4 linked regions of the Daphnia pulex genome follow. The protein of the gene in region 2 purifies or fractionates together with the protein of the main gene of each other region. This does not show direct contact. Links are inferred from orthologs where the notes say so. Each region holds a gene or a part of one and is shown on either strand. Other genes may lie near its edges.

Region 1 (4,237 bases), about 1.0 Mb from region 2:
TCGGCCCATGCACCTGGCCGAAGTTTTAGAGAACATTGTAAAACATAAAAAAATGTATGCTGGTTGCACAGTAATTGAGAAGCTCAGTTTTCGGAGGAATAACTGTCGAAAGTCATATTAACTGGAACGACCCCCATCAAGGAAAAAGGGCTATTAGTCTGCGTTTAGTCTCAGTCTCTTTATGGCAAATCCTGGAAAGTGCGTCTATAAAACGTACGTATAACCACGACCCCTCATTTCTCGAAATAGAAGATCAAACGGAGGTATGCGTGTCTGCTTCGAAAGAATGTTGCAACTTGCTCGATACAAAAAGTCTCGATTGGAAAATTTGTATTGTAGTTACGACTGCTGAGTGATCTTAAAACTTGTCCAAGAGCTGAAGGATGTGTTGTTTCTCTTCTTCTTTCGCTTCGCTTTCACTGCCATCGCCAAGATTTCCTGCGTACTCTGCGCGAAGGACCAAATAAATATTAGTTTAACTTGGACAAGGGCTTTACGATTGGACGAAAAGCGAAAATATTTACCTCTCATTATTTCACGAATTGTCTTGACTGTGCCTCCTCTCAAATTGAGCGTATGCAAAACGCGCTGCTTGATGGTTGCGGCTCCTGAGGCGCAAACTTCCATCATAATGTAGTCCACCAGCTGAAGCGTGAACAATCCACCTTCCAGACGTTTAAGGTACATTTCGTCCTCGTCCTCTTCGTCGTCGTTCCGCTGGAGTTGAGCGTCAATCACGCGTAATTTGTCGAAGTATTTGAAGTGCAACTCCATCAGTCGATCGGTTTTTTCGTGGTCGTTTTCTGTAAACTTCGTCAGAAGTCTGGTGCGCTGTGATCCTCGGCACGACTTTAGCATACTTGCAATCACCGAGACTATATGTTCTAAAAAAACGATTTACACGGGTCACGTTTTATAAATTTGTGATGCACATCAGTATTTGCACTATATTTTATATTTACCTTCATACTCTTCTGCTGACATCCCCTTTCTCTTCAGTTTATGCGGCGTTTTCATGAATAGCGGAAAAATAGTCCTTAAGCCGAGGATGTCCACAAATTTGGTGCAATTATCTTTACCGGCCTCACCACTAAGTGCGTGATTCAAAACCTTTAACGCGCCATTTCTGGACATTTTTTTCTCTCTGTAAAGAAAGTGGGGAAAAAAACGGGTCAGGCTTCAAGATCAACAATATGAATGGTAGCAAGCCGGATCGTGGGAATTTCAACAATACCGCAACATGAGGTTCATAAGTTGCAAGCCCTCTCCCTTCAGAAATCTGTCGCGGTTGGGAACGTGAATCAGACTGGAACAAACACAATCGAACAAATTCTCCATCATTTCTTGTTCTTCTCCTGTTTTGGGATCTTGCCGCTTGAAAATCTGCGAGAAAATAATTAAAAAAATGACTTGCACTTTTACACAAATGAAAAATGAATGAAGAAAAACGTTTTCTTACGGCTAACTGTTGAAGCAAAATATCAATTCCGTCAATTTCACCCAGAAGTTGCCGATTTTCTGGTGTGCCTTGAAGCAAAATGGACAATATTTCACTGCAATATAGTTTGTTGGCGTCGAATGGTAATTTAGCTCTTAGCCGCTTCATTATCCAACTCAGCAACCCCTGTTGGGCTGCTTGTTGACACACTTCAGGCCTAATTTCCGTTAAGTTTTCCACAATGGCTGAAAGAACAAATTATTTTGTGAACAAAAACTGGGTACTTATGAATTATAGAAACATAAATGATCGTCTATACCTAGTGTATTGTGAACTCCGTCAGATTCTTCTGTTTGAGCTTCGTTTAGTCTTTCCAGGTTGTGGACTAGGAGGGCACAGATTTGCTGGTCCAGGAGTGCATCAATTAGAATTGCAGCTTCATCTTGACTTTCATTCAGAGTATCAATGTCAGTCAATTCTTGAAGCAAATTGACCACAGCGACAGAAATGTCTGCATTGTCATGTGACAATAGACCTAGCAATGTTGGTATAAGCTTTTGTTCAACACCTACTGTGTATAGTTCAGGAGCTGTTGCAAGTGCATGCATCAGTTGAATTGCTTCATGCAATTCCAATTCTGATTCCATAAACCTAAAAGATAAAATAAAAACTATTATGAAGAATGATGACAAAACAAGCAGAGGATAGGAATCATACTTCTCTGGCGCATCTGGAAATTTAACACGTAGTTCTTGATTTTTCAGAACCCGCTTTTCAAAATTTAGAATCATTCTCTTTAGGGAGGCTTCATCAAGGCTTTCAGAACCTTCATCTTGCTCTACCAATTTGAGCAATTCTTCTTTTTCTGGAGTTTCAACAACTGGGGGAGCAATATATGTGGCTGTTGATCTTGGGTTTGGCTTTACATTACTGGTTGGAAACTGTTTAAGTTTCTTTCCGGGACGTTCAAACTCTGGCTCTTTATCATCATCTGCAACATCTCGTTTGGGGTTTTGTTTTGGCTGTAACAAGAAAGTAGTGATTAATCATAATAAAACAAATGAAAGCTTTCAAAATAATCCAACAAATGCCATTGCAATATATGCTCCATGCAATCCCATAACATCCAATGCTTCTGTTTCCCCTTAATGGACTTATAGCTAAAGAAGTGTTAATACAAACTGATTTACACACCTTAAAAGATAAAAGTTCACCGACATCCATTGCAGATATTCGATTAAATTAAATAATGAACCAGCATAAACAAAATTTGAAGAGATCTTTTGGAACTTTCAACTTTTTAAAAAACACGATGTGTCAAACATGAAAATAGAGTCATCTACCGTTAGGAATATCAGAATAAAAACGCCATCTGGCCATAAGTAATGAAACTCGATGGGTCGATTTTATGATTAGTGTTGTCTGCTTTCGTTTTGTTTGAAAGTTTCGAAAAAGAAAAAGAGACAAAGATTTTTGGGGGGAAACGTTACGTTGCTGCACGAAAAATAGCACTAAAAATTAAAAACAAAAATGTGATTGCCGTGTCAACTCTGGTCGCCGGTCGCGTGTCTTTATAGAATCGCTTAATGCACATACACATGCTGCTTTAGCAGGTAAAAAAACCCCATAAATTCAAATAGAATGACTGACTAGCATGTATCATGTAATAAGGGGCTTACATGATAAGTGTTGCTATTGCATGTGTGTTTGTGAGCACTATGTAACATTCTCATCTTTGTGCAGATTTGAGGCCAGAGCCAACCATCAAACCACAACATATGCAAGTTTTGCTTGTGCCAGTATTCACAGTGTCATCAGCAACAATCTTAGTATCATCACTCAGGTAATGATTTTCGTTACTTTTATTAACCTGTTAGATGTTTTAAATAGCCATCACTTGCAGAGTGTTACAGGGAATTCTTACATTCTCTTGTCCATTAATAAATAGGATTCATCTGCTGTCTTGTTTTCTATTTATCACTAATTGTTTCTGTAAATATTTTTCGTAACTCATATTTCATATTTGATTTTTATTTAGATAGGATTTATAGCATCCCGTTTGATTGGAGAGACTATCACCGATGTCGACCGAATTTCTTCCCCTTTCTTGGAATGTCCTCTTTACACCCATGTGAACGTGGACTTAAAGGCTTTAAGGTAGAAAAACATTTATCTAAATTCTTCCTTTTTGACTGTTACTTGGCGTTGATTATAAATTTTTGAGTACGATTATTCCTGAGCTATGCGGTTGACCGGAACGGTTTTCTCTTGCCGTTTTTGTTTACTCGGTCAGGGTTTGAAAAAGTGGTTGCTCATTTGTAGAACGGCTGCAGTTCAGGCCCTGTTTTGTACCTCACAACTTTGTCTATAGGTAAAAAGTCCAATTCAAAAATATTTCAACTTCAAACACTTAAAGCAAAGTGCAACTAGAAAAATTTTATGACGAAAGAGGGTCCTTGGTCGCCACACTGGCACTCGTTCTTAAAATATTCCCTCGGTTAACCCTCGTTTTCAATTAGAGAAATTTTTAAGAAAGTTTTTATAAATGGTGTTATACCAAGAGGAATAAGTTTTCCGGTGTCGTTTGTGGTTTTAGGGTAAAATTCATATTTAAATGGAATAATAATAGGAGGCTATTTAATATCACACCGTATTAAAAATGCCTGAAGGAATTGAAACTTGAAAAAGTAATGATTCTAAGCTACGAATGATATTTCTCGAGAAACCGACGACAAATCATCACATGAGCAATTAAAAGGGTTCATTTTTACGACGCACTTTCCAGCTGTGGAGAGTAAT
Region 2 (8,684 bases):
AAGAGACGTTGCTTTCTCTATCACAACCAGTATTTCCAACTGGATATTTACAAAGAGCCTTGCCATCCGAGGTATACTTAGCAATTGGATTTTTTCCAACAGAAACACTTCACTATACCAAAAACGCTTTTCATAGATGCCACGGCCTAGTGTTGTTGGAAACGTATACGACGCAATCGTTGGAGGAATTCCAAGCTAATAAATTGCCCGATTTCCTTGACATTGTCGATAACGTGACGGGCGATCCGACCCACTCTATGTACAACCTTTCTCTTAAAGAGGAATGGTTAAATAATAAAAAATTCTGCTTCAAACTTGCAGGTAACGCAATATCCGATAACAAATATTTGGTATTTTTCTTGTGTGTGTTGTGGAAATCCTGGGAGGGTTTGTACCGTTCACAGGGGAGTTCACATACATTGTGGGGAAATATTGTGTAAGTTATAGTTACATATTAAAGGATCCATATTTTAAATTATTGACTCAGCTGAATTGCACGAGGAATTGGGCTGAGGTAAGGAACACCGAGCTTGATGGCTAATGATCGAGTCGGATGCATGCGTGTGTATCATAGGAGAATTTTCACCACAGAATTTATTTAGCAAATCACAATTTTTTCGTATCCTAGTATTTGTTCCTTATTTTCTACTTTTATTTTAAGTTTAAGTCTCGTAGAATTTGACTAATAATTTTTTTTTGTATCTGAATATCAAAAATCTGCAGCCGACGACGAAGATGACCTGACTGGAAGCCCTCGAACCAATGGCTGGATAGGACCACACGTTAATGGAGTTTAGTAGCGATTCTCAGCACATATGGTCAAGGGCACGTTAAGTAACCGACTATTAAATCTGATTCCTGTGAGTCTCAGTTCTTATTCAAGTTATTCTACTCTCACTATATCAACTCCCCCCCCCCCCCACATACAAAGGTAAAAGAAGAAATAAAGAAAGCAAGAATAGAAAAATTTTCTGGGAACACCTGACTCATGATAACTACGATTTTCTTACTGCTGCTTTGTAATAACTACAAAAGTTGCAATACGCTCGTGTTAAAGTTATTAGCTAGTCTACTAAATGATGATCGCCGATAAACTGTAGCATTTGGCCGTCAATACTTAAGCGACCGTGTTACAATTTCTTCATTTACCCTTTACAAGTGCATTATATCCCATGTAGTATTAAAATAACCTTCATTTTCTTAGACAAATACAATATTGTATTCTTGCAGTAATACAAATTCTGGAAATTTCAAGTGTATCATTTTAACATTTACAAGTTGAATTTAAGTTCAATGGTGCAGATTATGCCCCTTTACCTTTTTTTGCAGTGTAACAACTTTGACTGGTAGCAGAAATTGGTCTTTTTGTTGCATGAGAAGTGGTTTGAGATGTAATGACAGAGTCCTGATCATAATCAGAACTGCTTACACTTTGCTGATTTATTTCTTGATTTTGTTTCTTCTGCAAGAGCTCAGAGTCATGAGCAAAGACACAGTTTGACCCAAATCTGCACCTCCCTTTCCTATAGTTCCAGCAAATTTTTCTCCCATTGATTTCTTTGATGTCTTCAAGTTTGGGGGTGAATTTTACATGCTTTTCAAGTGTGCCCTTTTCTGCTTCCTCTGCTTCTTTGTATGGATTTGCAAACACAGATTTTCCTGACACTGAAGTCTCTGAACTGCGAAAAGGGTTTTTCAAGTTCTTTAAATGTTCATCTTGCAACGAAAAGTTATCTGCTTGATCGTTTTCTTCACTAAAAAATGAAATATTTAGAAATTTAAAAAATTCATAGAGAAATTTGTCATACCCACTACTACTATCATCAAAAACCTGAAAAAAATTATTTTTGATTTTTGATTTCACAGGATCTTCAGCAAGTTCTGTTTGTGTTGATTCTTTTGTTTCCGTTCCAGAACTTTCCGAGCTATCCGATCCATAACCCACCAACAAATTTAACGAAGTCATCTAATTTTTTATCGTAGAAGCTTAACGAGTGCTTAATTTAAACTAAAGAAATGGTGAATTATTTAAAATTTTAGTAGATCTCTTAACTGACTTGCAGAACAATGTGTAGTTGTGTTGTGTACTGTACATTGTTGCAGACGACATTACCCAAAACACAAGAGAAGTCATAGGGTTACCCAGCCCTCTGTTGAAAAAGTTTAGAGACAGGTTTTTTTTTTCAAAGATAAGTGATCAGTAGTTTATTAAATATCAAAGTGTAAATCGTGATTGTTATTAGTATAGATCAGTACCAGCAAAATTGCAATTCAATCAACGTGTAATCGGAAGTTTGAAAGTGCATACTATCTCGGATTTTTTTAAAGAAACTTGCACACAAGGATTTAAGAACTAATTAACTACAGTTTTATTCGAACGCATCGAAAAGTCATGAATAGCTCAGGTTCAGAACGTAATGTTAGGGCGGGATTCAAAGAGAAACGTCGAAACGATACAGACAAGAACACACCGAATGCACGACAGATTGGCCATCATTTAAATGTTTGTCCAGCCATAGGGCTAAGCAATGTGCAACTTAAAACACACAAAAAAAAAACACTGATGATTTTCTCAAACGCCTCCTCGGCGATATGGGTGGTATTGAGATTGCGACGGCTGGTGGTGGTGACCACCTCCTCGTTGAGGACCCGGTCCTCCAGGGCCAGCAGCTCCGGCTCCTGCTCCAGGAACACCAAGACCATTACCGGCAGGTGCAACGCCAGGTGGTGGGACTCTTTCTGGATTTCCATAGCCTAAAAAAATAACCATAATTATCATAAAGATCCTTTTTTGTAAAAACTAAATTAACAATCACCTTGTCCACCTCCATATCCTTGAGCGTTAGCTTCTTGGGCGTATCCTCCTCTGTATCCTTGGTTAACGTCCTTGGATAATAATAAAAAAAAAAACGATTGAATTCCTAAAAAAATGTAACATTTGACTCGCACAATTAACTTACTGTTCCATAGCCATTAGTTCCGTATCCAGCACCGTACTGAGCAGGTTCAGCTTTTACTCCAGGAACTCCAGGTCCAGTAGGGGCAGCTGCGCCCGGAGGACCACCATTAGTTGGGTTAGGACCTCTACCATACATATCGCCGTTGGGACCTGGGCCACCAGGTCCACCTCCTTGTGGGCCCGGTCCTCCCCAATTCCAGTTGTTGTATCCACCTTGTTGAGGTCCACCTTGAGGGCCTATATAGTTTAACACGTTCTTATTTTCATTCATCTACGCGGTATCAAAGACAATGTGATTCATGGAAAAACTTCTATTTAGAAAATCTCAGCCAATTTATCTTCGAAATATATCCTGGAGAAGAAACAATCACTTTATCAGCATACACTTTATTACCATAGCCATAATTAGCTCCTGGTCCTCCTCCATATCCTCCCCACTGCCCTTGTGGGCCCCATCCTTGATATCCACCTTGGGGTCCATATCCATATCCACCTTGATTGGCAGGTCCACCCCATCCTTGATAACCACCACCCATGGGAGGGCCCATCGGTCCACCCATTGGGCCACCCATAGGACCCATACCCTAAATGGCAAAAACGCAAAAAAAAAAAAAGAAAAAAGAAAAACACAAATCGATTATTTAAAATCTGTTTGTAACTTAAGTTTGAGCAAGAAAGCTTAGTGACTTACCCCATGCATTCCCATTCCCGGACCTTCCCATCCACCATTGTGTCCTCCACGTCTCATTCCACCAGATGATCCTCGAGTATCACGGGGCTCTGCTTTCTTGATTTCAACCTATGGTCCAAAAGAAATCTTTATTCCTTGTTTGATGACTAATGTTAATTCTAACATTAGAACGAATTATTATGCATTCATATTTTTTTAAAACAATAAAGAGAGCTCACCACCGACCTTAACTTGTTACATTATTGATAAGATTATCTATTGTTTTCTATGAGTTAATTACAATTACTATTTAGAAGACCAATAGATTGGTACAAAGACCAGCTTAACTCGACGGTTAGATACATTTTCTAAATAAACTTTAAAAATATATAAGATCAAGTGTCGGCGAGGTTTAAACAATGGTGAGCCCTGATTATTCATACTTCCGATTGCGTTTTTCACAAAGAGTAAGGGAGAGGGACATTGGTTGTTGTTTTGATGATAGAATACCTGCTTTCCATTGATTGAAACATAGTGTTCACCAGTGCAGCGATCCACCGACTCCTCCGATTCAAAGGTCAAAAAGCCAAAGCCTGTCCCAAGGTTTTCCAAATTGCTTATTACACTTTTTTTATACCACTTTTCTTTACATCTTTCTTTGATCTCATTAATAATCATTAGAAGAAATCTTGGGACAGGCCTGACTAAATTATTTTTCAACCATAACTTTTGACTGTAGATCTGATGAGATTGATACCGGATTCTAATACTTGAAGAGAAATAAATCTAATACATCGTTAAAAACTAGAGTTGTGATTATGAAAGAAATATTGACTCAACCCAATGGGTATGCCAATATTTAGTCAGATGTAAAACTTGTAAATCCACCCTCCCAAGTTCCTTAATGGCATATTATCTACTGTAATTCGCGGAAACTCTTTCACATGAGCAGTAGAAGTAAACGTGGATAGGAACTTAGCCATTTGCTTACCTATAGGAATAAAATAACCACACTATTAAAGTTAGCAAAGTTATCAAAAAAGGAATCCATCGAATCTTCGGAATATAACCACTTACACTTGCGTCATACGTTATGTAAGGACGTTCATAGTTTATTTACGCTGTTTTAATTAACTTTAATACCCACTAATTGAGGAAAGTGACTCACCTCGAGATTTTTTCTTTTCTTGGTCGTACATGATAACGACTTCAGAGACCTTTCCGTACTGCGAGAAGAAGTTACGAAGATCTGTTTCTGTCAAGTTTGATGGAAGCCCACCTAAAAATACTTTGTAACCATTTCCTGTACCCATACTCCGGCGAGGAGCGCGTACCATTTCGGCACGTGGATTACAAGGTTTGGGGTCAATCTGCATAAACATAAAAATATGAGATCATAAAAAACAACCAAAAATGTAGAAAGAAATCAAATATATATCTCAAGTTGAGATATAAACTTCAATTCCTTCCACTTCTATGTAGCAATACCGCGAAAGGAGATAAAATTATGTTAAACATTCTATCACCGCTCAGGTAGTGCAAATAAGAGTATGAAGAAAATATAAAAACTTACTGTGCGATTATCGAGTATATGGGGTGTGTTTTGTAGTACTAAACCAACATTGTTAGGATCAGCAAATGTAATGAACCCAAACCCTCTCGATCTACCAGTTTCTGGGTTCTTCATTACCACACAGTCAACAACTTCACCATACTGACTGAAATATCGAAGCAAATTATCGCGCGTCGTTTCCCAGCTTAAACCTCCGATGAACATTTTACTAAAAAAACAAGATTCGTACCAAAAAATAGTAAATGGACGCAAATCATGAAAAGCTTAGTGTACGGCGTCATGGATTTACATTCTCCCATGAACTTCACATGTCATATTATAAATGGAAAAAATTTCTTACCCTTGTTCATTCGAATTATCACCACCTTCTTTTCCAGGGAATTTTTGTTGAGAGGCCATTGTTCAGTTTAAATTGAATATAACAGTAAACGAATCTTTCAAATTTTCGAGGAGTGTTCGCACTGCGCTTGGGTTGGCTTCTTCAGTTGAGAAATGGGGGAAATGGCTGGCCCGGCATTTCAGTCAGTTTGCACCGTTGCCTGGACACTTTTTCTAGTTGAAAACTTGAAACTTAAATTATGAAATTATTACTTATAAAAAACTATGCTGTTTCTTTTACACATTCCAATAAAAAAATTTCTGAGTCTTAAAAAAATGATTGGATTTTGAAAAGAAAAGAAAACTCGCACTGAGGAATGAAGCGCTTTATTGAATAGTGTAGTCTAGCAACTGTTTAGCCCTAAGCGAAGCGAACATATGCATCTTGGCTTGTCGCACATTTTTGTGAAAAGTATATAAAAAAAGGTTACACGCTTCATCATGGCCCTCTGTTGTTCTCGTAATATTACATTTTCATTATAAATATCAATTTAAAACCAATCCATTCTTCTGAGAAATTTGATATTTAATGTCTTATATCTCTTGCTTATATAGTGTCGAACGAAGTTCCCGAACATCCTGTGGTCTCACCGGTGTCAGGATCTGTGTTTGAACGTCGGCTGATTGAAAAGTACATTGCTGATAACGGGGTAGATCCCATCAATGGGAAAGAAATAACTGTAGATCAACTTATTGAAATCAAAAGTAAGAAATTTTTTATCAAAGTTCCACAATGAATTTACATGTAATTGAAATTTTGTTTCTAGCCCCCCCAATTGTTAAGCCTAAAGTGCCATCTGCAACAAGCATTCCCGCCGTGCTTAAGTCTTTACAAGATGAATGGGATGCTGTCATGTTAAATTCCTTTACTTTGAGGCAACAATTACAAACTGCTCGACAAGAATTGAGGTATTGACCAACTTAATTACACATGGAATTATTGTGCAAACATTCTCTTTCTATTTGTAGTCATGCTCTCTACCAACATGATGCTGCTTGTCGTGTTATTGCACGCCTCCACAAGGAAGTGTCTACAGCACGGGAAGCACTTGCAACTCTTAAGCCCCAGACTGGCTATGCTGCTGTATCTACACCATCTGTTGCTGCCTCAGTAAGAAAGCATTATGATATTTATTTGTATGTTATTTATGATAAATTTACTGATTTGATGTAAGGCTGAAGCGGGTGGTGTGGCAGCACAACCGATCGAGGCAGCTGGATTAACTCCGGAAATCATATCACAATTACAAGATAAAGCCACTGTTCTTACTCAAGAACGAAAACGTAGAGGCAAAACCATGCCCGAAGGCTTAGCTACAGCAGAAGCTTTGAAGGGATATAAAACTTTGGCATCTCATCCGGTAATGACATATAATTTTGAAATGTTATCCCATCTTCATGGATTGATTACATATAGGCTTTGCACAGTGCAAGTATGCCCGGAATTTTGACCATGGACGTTCACGCCGCCGATACTTCTCATATTTTGACTGGAGGTAACGATCGATGCGCTACAGTTTTTAACAAGGACACTGAGCAGGTTGTTGCTGTTCTCAAGGGACATACAAAAAAAGTTACCAAGGTGCTTTATCATCCAGAAGAGGTAATTTCATGTTTTCTTTTAATTTTCTCTTGATTTACTTTGTTATATGATACTAATATACCCCTTGAATCTGTTATAGGAAGTCGCGATAACAGCATCTCCTGATGCGACGATTCGTGTTTGGAATATAACCGGCTCCTCACAATCTGCCATCATCCGTGCTCATGATGGCCCTGTCACAGGCTTGTCGCTCCACGCAACCGGAGAATATGTTTTGTCGACGTCACTGGATCAACACTGGGCATTTTCAGACATTCGCGTTGGGCGGTTGTTGACAAAGGTTGCCGACACAGACGGAAATCCGCTTACGACAGCCCAGTTCCATCCAGATGGTCTCATTTTCGGCACTGGAACACAAGATTCACAGATCAAAATTTGGGATTTAAAAGAACAATCTAACGTGGCCAACTTTCCAGGTTTGGCTCTTTTAAAATAATCTTGTGATAAACATTAGCTTTACTATTACCATTTTTACAATTACAGGTCATTCCGGTCCTATTGCGGCTTTGTCATTTTCAGAAAATGGTTACTATTTGGCTACAGCGGCAGAAGACTCTTGCGTCAAATTGTGGGATTTACGGAAATTGAAGAATTTTAAAACAATTCAGCTCGACGAAGGATACGAAGTTAAGGACTTGTGCTTCGATCAAAGCGGCACCTACCTTGCTGTGGCTGGTACCGACGTGCGTGTTTATCTCTGCAAGCAATGGGAAACTCTTAAGACTTTTAACGACCATACAGCATTGGCTATGGGAGTCCGTTTCGGCAACCATGCGCAGTCGATAGCGTCTGTGAGTATGGATCGTACGCTGAAAATTTATGGCATCGAGTGATTCACTGTATTCAATGTTGAGAGGGGATTTTTAAATGAACATTTTTCGTCTTATCCTTTTTTTTGCTGTAAGGTGTGCAAACCGCATCGAACTCTCGCCCTCACAAAAATACACGCGTTTCATTTTTCCCATCAAAAACAATTCTACGAGTGTATATCGATAGTTAAGTTTCCCGCGTTACTATCGATACATTAAATAAAACAAAAAGCTTCGAAATTTTGTCACTAGTGGCGTGGCAGTTCGCTTGGCATTTTCGCTTTCTTGAAGCATATCCCAATGGCGGCTTAGGCAATCGATGCATCGGCCGCTCCTTCGTACAGGGGTTTATGTATTTGGCCTAAAATGCCGGTCGACTCTTGTAAACAAGGAATAGTGAGATCATACTACGTTAATTTCAAATTTCATAGTTCAAATTCTTCATATTGGATTGCTATCCTGAATCAAGATTTTTCCAGATAAAGTACGAGGTAAGTCGCCCAAAAACAGTTCCTTCAACCGTCGCTTCTATCAAGTTGCATTGTTGCATCTTTTGTAATTGGAAGCGTGGTTTTGTTGAATGAATAAAATTTTCTGCCCTTCAAAAAATTTGTCTTCTTTAATTTGACGCATTTTTTTTTCTCCCTAAAGAGTTGACACAACTACTTTAATTAGCTTACACATTAATCAGA
Region 3 (4,040 bases), on a different chromosome or scaffold from region 2:
GTCCTGAATGTTTTACGTTTACATCTGGTCCTCCACGACGAGTCCCACCCAAGCCTCCACCCAAACGGCGAGGAAGCCAACCTGGAATGCAATAGTTTAGGTACTTAGAAACCATGGCGGCATGATTATAATATCTAACAAGAAGAAAAAAATTTTGTGCACTTATTTACACTGATTAATCAAAATAAAAAACCTATGGATTTTCAAAACAAATTTTAAAATTTGCCTTCGAAAAAAAGGGCAGCAAACTATAAACATAAAACTTATTTAATTAAAATAATTACCTTTGACAGTCCTTGCCCTTTCTACGTCTACAAGAACTCTGCGGCCGTCTATTTTCTTTCCGTCGGCGTGTTTGTACGCAGCTGGTATTTTAAAACAACAAACCAGTATTTCGGCGCCGTCGGCAAAACGAACAAATCGTAAATACGGGTAGTACAGCAGGCAGAGAAGACGAAAAATTCAGCGTGTATAACATGGAGAAGGAGAGTTCCAACAATTAGTATCACAAACCTAATATCACCTACCGAAGGATCTCCATTACCTACCCCTCCCAGCAATTTCGAAAAATATTTACCGTGAATTAACAAATAACGAAAAATGCAATGATTTCAAGTATGACCAATCATAACACTTGGAAAATGCATAAAAAACCAACGCCACGGCCGTTTACCAGATTACGGCTATGTTCACGTAACATCCAGATCTATTAATAAGCGATCAAATGTTGCCAATCACAGAAGCAGATCCATTCCCTCTTCAAGCTGTCCCCATCTTTACCTGTGAATCCTCTTAACGCGCAGCAGCACTCGAAGAATCTGATCGAATTGAAATGGCCCTAATTTTTAGTGGCGCTAGAAAGCCTAGTAACCGACTTACCAGGATACTTACTACCATCAAGGGGAAGGGAGGGTGAAAACGAAAAGATACTTTCTTTGAAGCTAATTTGAACCTGCAGTCGATTTCAAAGGGATTTTGGTTTAACTTTAACCAAACGAAACCTTACCAATTGACCATACAAACCTAGCATCAAGAGACAAAAAGCGACAAAGGCCACATGACCGTCCAAATAGTCGGAGGCCGCGACTGTGACCGGAAACGACAAAATGAAATATAGGAAAACTTTAAGGTACAAATCAATCACAGATTTTCCCCACCTCACCCCCACCCCTTTCATCATCATACAAATTGGTGGTGCGACGATTAATTGAACAGTGAAAGCTATCGCAGGCCTTACTAATTAGCCCACTACCCTCAGTTACCACACGACTTAGGTATAATAGAAAAGAAATACTTACAATGCATGTCTCGCTCATGTTCATACTCGATGAATGCATAACCGCGTGGCTTACTAGTCCTCTTGTCATGCACCAACACAATCTGTAACATTAAAAAGCGTGGTAAGCGTGTGATTAAATTTCACATGGTGCTTGTAAGTTACCTTCCGAACAACTCCGTACACTTCAAACTCCCTGCGCAATTTAGATTCCGAAGTATCAAAATTCTGAGAGAAAATGTTTCAAGAATTATCGTTTCATTCATGCGGATTACTAGTTATAACTTAGCACTCATTATTCATTAAGCTCGAAATAAAATAAAAGTGATGAGAAAAAAAAATTATAGTATGAGTATTGACACTTACAATGCGAGCAACGAACAGCGTTTTGAAGGGGTCCATGGTAGAAACACCATTACTGTGTGGATCCCCTATGAATGCCAGAGAAAAGGGAAATTGATAAAAGAAATTGTAGAAACACACCAAAAATTAGAACTTACACATTGCAATTTCCTGTTCAAGTTTATAGGCAACTTGTTCTGCCTTTTCGCGACGTTTTCTTTCGCGCCGTTCATCCCGTGTTTCTGCTCGCGTAGGAGGGGGTGTATCTTTAGGATCCTGTTAAGAATATAAAATGATATTAAAAATTTCGTTATGTTTGAAAGCTCAGTACTTAGTTCATCAGAATGCTTCTAGTATGCAATGTTTCGTTCCACATCTCTCATTTAAAACTTTGTGAAACAATGACTACTTTACACCCCTCAGACATATGCTAACATTAAATTGTCAACCTGATAAAAGGCTCAGCTGGAAACACTGTGCTTCCAGAAAATTAAGACACTTTCACAACATTTTCACAAAATATTTTGCATCTCACATGTCACACATGAAAACTTGGGATTCTCATCGACACATCTAGAGGAGAATGAATAAATGAACCAAAACTGTTCCATAAATTGGGATTGGGACCCGTGCATTAGTAAATTAAGACATACATTACTTCCCAAATCAATCAAATTAGATCAAATTGCAATACTTACCTTGACTACTATATCAATTTTTAATTTTTAATGGAATCAAATACTAACCTCAAACAGATTTGTATACTGCGCTATACCAATGTATGGCGTTCTTTTTTTTTCATGAGTCAATTTATCAGGTGGTGGTAAAAATGGAGGGGGATCGCGTGGCGCAAAAAGAGCCAAAAGATTTGGAGGCAAAAACTGCGTCATTTCACAAATATTTCAATGAGCATGGACCTTTCAAAAAGCTTCTCGGTCGAGCGTCTTAGCTGTCGGCCATTAGTCCATTACTGTCTATCTATTGCTCGGCAGGGCTGCCACTTTGGTCTTTGGTGGGATTTTCCCACTTTTGAAATTTTCAAGTTTTTAAAATTGAAAATACCCGTTTTAAAAAACGGGTATTGTGGGATGAGATGGGATTGAGATTTTAGGAAAAACAGCGGGATTTTGTAATTTCTAATTTATCTGACCAATTTCATAAATTTTTTTTGAGCCGTAAATAGGCTAGCAACAAAATATATATTTGGCAACTAGAAATAAAACTAAATTTAAAAAAGCAGACGAATCAATACCAGATCAGAATCAGACATATATAAAAGTAAATAGTCACTACAGTCAAAAACAGCGTTTTGGCCCCAACCAATTTGTATCAGTTTTTACTTTTTATATTGTTTTAAATATTATAATCGTAATACTAGACCCCCGGCCCTTTAGTTTGCTTGTTGCTTATTGCTTATTGGATTTTAATGGGTTTGGCGCTGATATTTTTCATTAAATTTCTTGAAAGTGGAGTCTAGTAAGTAGGTAGTAGGTAACTTATAACATTTAAATTAATGCTCTTTAAGGAAAAAAAACTATAAATACTACATAAAAATAGACATAATTAGGTTTCAAATGAGACTAAGGGGGAATTTCTACGTGCATTTTTGACAAGGTTTAATATATGGTAAACATATTTTATACGGTAAGATTTATTTCATTACTGCATCTCAAAAGATTCAAGTTGTACAGCATCTTTCAATTACATCCAAGTCCCAAATATTGGTAAATAAATAAATTAGTTCCTTTCTTTCTTACAAAGCCTTTTCGGCCTTTTCTTAAATACATTGCTGATGCGGTTAAGTTCGGTTAATGTTATTGTGGTTTTCAAAAATCAGCTTGGATTTCAACTTCTACTTGCAGACAAACCAAAACAAAGTAAAAAAAAACTGTTCGATATTATTTGGCCTCTTGATGGCGTAGAATTCAATTATTGAATTAATTGAAATTAATGGTTTCTTAGGATTAGGAATGTCTTTAATCTTGATGTATTTATCGTCTGAAAGTTGAGACGGTGTCTCTAGCTCTCTACTTTAAGACCATAACAAAATTTTACTTTAGTTAGCTAAATTTTTTGCGCCAAAAAACTCATACTGTTTCGTCCTTCATGCTTAACTCAGCTTAAGGATAGGCCTTTTTATCGTTAGCACATGCAAAAAAATAAACAAACAAAACGCGGCAAAGTCTGATACACACGACATGATTCTGAATCGAGTTTCCATCATCACGTGACCGCAAGCACTCCGCCGGTCCGCCCACAAAAATAAACCCAAAAATGGAACCATACAATCTGTGAACATGTTTCCATAGTTCTACTAAGGCAGATTGCCCGAGATACCTAGATGGGAAAACCTCCTAAACTGAATAATTTGGATATATTATCCACAATTCCGCTACACCAAAACGCCAGTTGCTAATACATG
Region 4 (2,964 bases), on a different chromosome or scaffold from region 2:
ATACGTCCACCACGACACATGTTACCATAGGCACCCTGACCGGAGCGATGGGTACCACCTCCTCGGACACGGGGAATACGAGCCACAGCACGACCAGTACCCCATGATTCAGCACTTGTCTGATGACCTGTAATAGGAAAGAAGAAGATTAACAATCACACCATTACATGTGTGTATGAAGTTTGTCCGGTTGCCCAACCCCTCACTTTAAGAAAACAAAGCGAGAAAGGCCTCAGGGACTCGCTTTAGTGTTGCACACTGCACAAGAAGAGTCTGACGTACAATTACTCCTACATTTCAATGCTGTGTGCCATATAATTGGCATACAAGTTACCTGCTTTCTCGCTGACACAATAAGGGTGACGACGATTCATTGACATTTGTTGTTGAACAAAGCTGACAATGTCTGGCCTAATGGGAGCCCTGAAGATTGCAGGGAGCTGGATGCTGGTTCCAGAGGCCTCAGCCTTCTCATTGTAAACGGTAATCAACGGCCTCGCGACCACCTTACTCTGTAAAACAAAATGGATAAACAAATTAGATTTAAGATTTTCAAGAGACAACACTTGAATTTACACAAACTTTGAACTAGATGTACCAATTAACCAAAACATAACAATAAACCAAGAACGACGTTGAATTAACATAGAAAAACAGCAAGAGCCCATTTGACACGAGGACGAAACCACGCTGTGGGTAACATTTTACTCCCAAACTTTCGCCATAGATTAACAAGAAAATGGCTTAGAAAAATATACGCACGCAAGAATTTTCTTAAAACACGTTTCTCCCGTTAACCTTTTTACTTACTATTCGTAAATTAATGTATGTAAAAACTAGTAAAATGTTTGGAGAACCTCATGCTTACCATCTTGGTAGATAGTCCTGACCGGGTAAAAAGGCGAATGAAAGAGACCCACAGTAATGGCGACAAAGAGGAAGTCTACAATGTTGCCGGCATACTTTGAGAATTGCCGCCCTCTACGTTCCGTTTTTTACTTGATTATTTACTTGAAAAATTACAGATTATTCACTGAACTGATCCACTGTTTAATAACAAAAATTATGGAGTTTCAATTGATGATTTCAAACATTTTAATGGAGTGATTAGTTATAAAATTTTTAATATTGTTTTATTTGTTTCACAATGCAACGGTGTCCAAAATATTATTGAATAAAATTTAATATACCAATTTATTTTCATATTTTATTCATTTAAAGGAAGTTAATGATCTTTATTCATTATCAAAAAGTAAGTTTATGAATAATTAGACATAATGAAAATCAATTACTAAAACTGTGGCTCATATTTATTAATCCAGCAGAAAATCTGACAATCTTGCTGACAACAGACAGTTTGACACAAATCACAAAATGCCGATTCCGTCAACAAACATTTCCACGCCGAACGAAAGGATTTTGGTTGACGATTTACCATACGTTGACCAAGAATATGGAGATCCAACTCTACGAGAAGCGGTAAGCAAAACTTATACATTGCAAACTTTGAAATATTTGAATCGCTTCGAATTGAGGCTTGGAGATTCTTGTGTTAGCCTAGTCATCTCTAACATCAATACATTATTGTACTAGACCATAGTACTGTATGTTGCTGAGAACTCTCGCTCTTGTCCAATAGTTGTTTAATGAGAGTAATTTCTTTCTATCAGGCACTTGCATTGGTTGATGAAGAGACACGAAGATATAGACCAACCAAAAACTACCTAGAACATCTTCCTCCACTTGAGCTGTCAGCATTTGAAGTAAGAACTGTCTGCATGGAAGTAATGATAGGAGTGTGTAATAATTATGGAAATTATCATGTTCATAGACTCCTTTGATGAAGACTGAATTTGAGCGACTGTCTCAAAAGAAACCAATGGATGTTTTGAGCATGAAACGATATGAACTCCCACCCCCATCTGCTGGTCGTCTAAATGATCTTCAAGCATGGATAGAGTGTGTTGATAATTCAATGGCTCAATTAGAACATCAAACAACAAGGTTTGTTTTCTAAAAAAAAATTTTACAGCAACCATAAATTTAAAAAAATTTCAATTAAAAAACAGGATTTTGAACTTGGAATTAATGTCAGAGTATGGTTGTGAATCATGGAGAATTTATAACACTGTATTGTCCCAGATGATCCAACAATCTCAGAAGCATCTTCAGGAATTTAAGTATGATTTCAGTAAAGTAGACACCATATTGCAAAATACACTATTATATTTTTCTTTACAGGAAACAAATCCAAGATGTCAATTGGGCTAGAAAAAAAGATCAGACAGAGGTTGGAGACAAAATGAAACATTTGGAAGCCACTTGGTTTGGTTTGATCACTAAAAACTACGAAATCGAACTCGCGTGTGCTGAAATTGAGAGACAGTTAGCTTCACTTAATGAATGAAATTCAATGTAAACCTACTTTATCGAATTCGGATAATACACTGCAACAGGAAATTGATTCATCCGAGATTTTCAGTAAGTGACAACCAAAAAGATTTGGTTGTAAGGGAACAAAACAAAAAAATAGTATAAAGTCATGCACTTTCAGATTAGCTTGTCTTATAAATGGTAAGTAGCACGTTCTGATTTTATATATCACACAATTGAAAACGAGAAGAAGCGTATGAGTACAGCAAAGCGTAATTCAGAGAAGGGTAAAAAAAAGGGTAAGATCATAGGGAAGTCTCACTTGGGGCTGAACTTAAAGGTAAAGGGCGGACGGAAGACTCATCTTCCAGCACCATAACTCGTTGCTTTAGGACGCGAACCTGATAATCACATGACATTTTTATGTCGGTCACACTTGATAACTCGTAATTTTTCTCTATATACCTGCATTGCATGTCTTTCCGACATGTTGACCATTTGCTGCTCTAGTCTTTTTAATCGAGATTGGTACTTTTTCTTAGTCCTCTCAAGAAGTTGGACCAACGTCCTGAAAATTAGTTTACGGATATT

The links.
Region 1: the proteins of pre-mRNA-processing factor 19-like (region 2) and beta-catenin-like protein 1 purify together in Homo sapiens (affinity purification with mass spectrometry; 4 studies listed by BioGRID and IntAct, counting the BioPlex papers as one, with this or other methods). This does not show direct contact. The link is inferred for Daphnia pulex from reciprocal best matches to the Homo sapiens genes PRPF19 and CTNNBL1.
Region 3: the proteins of pre-mRNA-processing factor 19-like (region 2) and U1 small nuclear ribonucleoprotein 70 kDa-like fractionate together in Homo sapiens (co-fractionation; 3 studies listed by BioGRID, with this or other methods). This does not show direct contact. The link is inferred for Daphnia pulex from reciprocal best matches to the Homo sapiens genes PRPF19 and SNRNP70.
Region 4: the proteins of pre-mRNA-processing factor 19-like (region 2) and pre-mRNA-splicing factor SPF27-like purify together in Homo sapiens (co-immunoprecipitation; 10 studies listed by BioGRID and IntAct, counting the BioPlex papers as one, with this or other methods). This does not show direct contact. The link is inferred for Daphnia pulex from reciprocal best matches to the Homo sapiens genes PRPF19 and BCAS2.

Annotation. Positions count from the first base shown.
Region 1 is NC_060022.1:2,351,930-2,356,166, forward strand, and holds beta-catenin-like protein 1, read right to left. Parts: upstream 2,801-4,237; 5' UTR 2,663-2,800; coding exon 2,633-2,662; intron 2,461-2,632; coding exon 2,156-2,460; intron 2,090-2,155; coding exon 1,758-2,089; intron 1,684-1,757; coding exon 1,460-1,683; intron 1,384-1,459; coding exon 1,235-1,383; intron 1,145-1,234; coding exon 963-1,144; intron 885-962; coding exon 525-884; intron 448-524; coding exon 359-447; 3' UTR 314-358; downstream 1-313. UniProt on the Homo sapiens protein: Component of the PRP19-CDC5L complex that forms an integral part of the spliceosome and is required for activating pre-mRNA splicing.
Region 2 is NC_060022.1:3,389,542-3,398,225, forward strand, and holds pre-mRNA-processing factor 19-like, read left to right. Parts: upstream 1-5,908; 5' UTR 5,909-6,021; coding exon 6,022-6,040; intron 6,041-6,135; coding exon 6,136-6,285; intron 6,286-6,347; coding exon 6,348-6,489; intron 6,490-6,549; coding exon 6,550-6,691; intron 6,692-6,755; coding exon 6,756-6,941; intron 6,942-6,997; coding exon 6,998-7,183; intron 7,184-7,262; coding exon 7,263-7,599; intron 7,600-7,666; coding exon 7,667-8,016; 3' UTR 8,017-8,154; downstream 8,155-8,684. Other genes in the region: TRPL translocation defect protein 14-like, read left to right, coding at 1-71, 137-321, 724-797; uncharacterized protein LOC124195731, read right to left, coding at 1,304-1,754, 1,809-1,966; heterogeneous nuclear ribonucleoprotein 27C-like, read right to left, coding at 2,573-2,754, 2,817-2,886, 2,961-3,196, 3,354-3,543, 3,651-3,758, 4,140-4,222, 4,798-4,999, 5,203-5,410 and 1 more. UniProt on the Homo sapiens protein: Ubiquitin-protein ligase which is a core component of several complexes mainly involved pre-mRNA splicing and DNA repair. Required for pre-mRNA splicing as component of the spliceosome.
Region 3 is NC_060026.1:6,141,064-6,145,103, forward strand, and holds the start of U1 small nuclear ribonucleoprotein 70 kDa-like, read right to left. Parts: upstream 2,801-4,040; 5' UTR 2,509-2,800; coding exon 2,365-2,508; intron 1,895-2,364; coding exon 1,777-1,894; intron 1,708-1,776; coding exon 1,643-1,707; intron 1,505-1,642; coding exon 1,442-1,504; intron 1,381-1,441; coding exon 1,299-1,380; intron 366-1,298; coding exon 285-365; intron 82-284; coding exon 1-81. UniProt on the Homo sapiens protein: Component of the spliceosomal U1 snRNP, which is essential for recognition of the pre-mRNA 5' splice-site and the subsequent assembly of the spliceosome. SNRNP70 binds to the loop I region of U1-snRNA.
Region 4 is NC_060018.1:4,114,108-4,117,071, reverse strand, and holds pre-mRNA-splicing factor SPF27-like, read left to right. Parts: upstream 1-1,191; 5' UTR 1,192-1,252; intron 1,253-1,322; 5' UTR 1,323-1,374; coding exon 1,375-1,479; intron 1,480-1,670; coding exon 1,671-1,763; intron 1,764-1,831; coding exon 1,832-2,004; intron 2,005-2,069; coding exon 2,070-2,180; intron 2,181-2,241; coding exon 2,242-2,407; 3' UTR 2,408-2,464; downstream 2,465-2,964. Other genes in the region: uncharacterized protein LOC124189006, read right to left, coding at 1-127, 335-512, 1,436-1,467, 2,696-2,774, 2,839-2,941. UniProt on the Homo sapiens protein: Required for pre-mRNA splicing as component of the activated spliceosome. Component of the PRP19-CDC5L complex that forms an integral part of the spliceosome and is required for activating pre-mRNA splicing.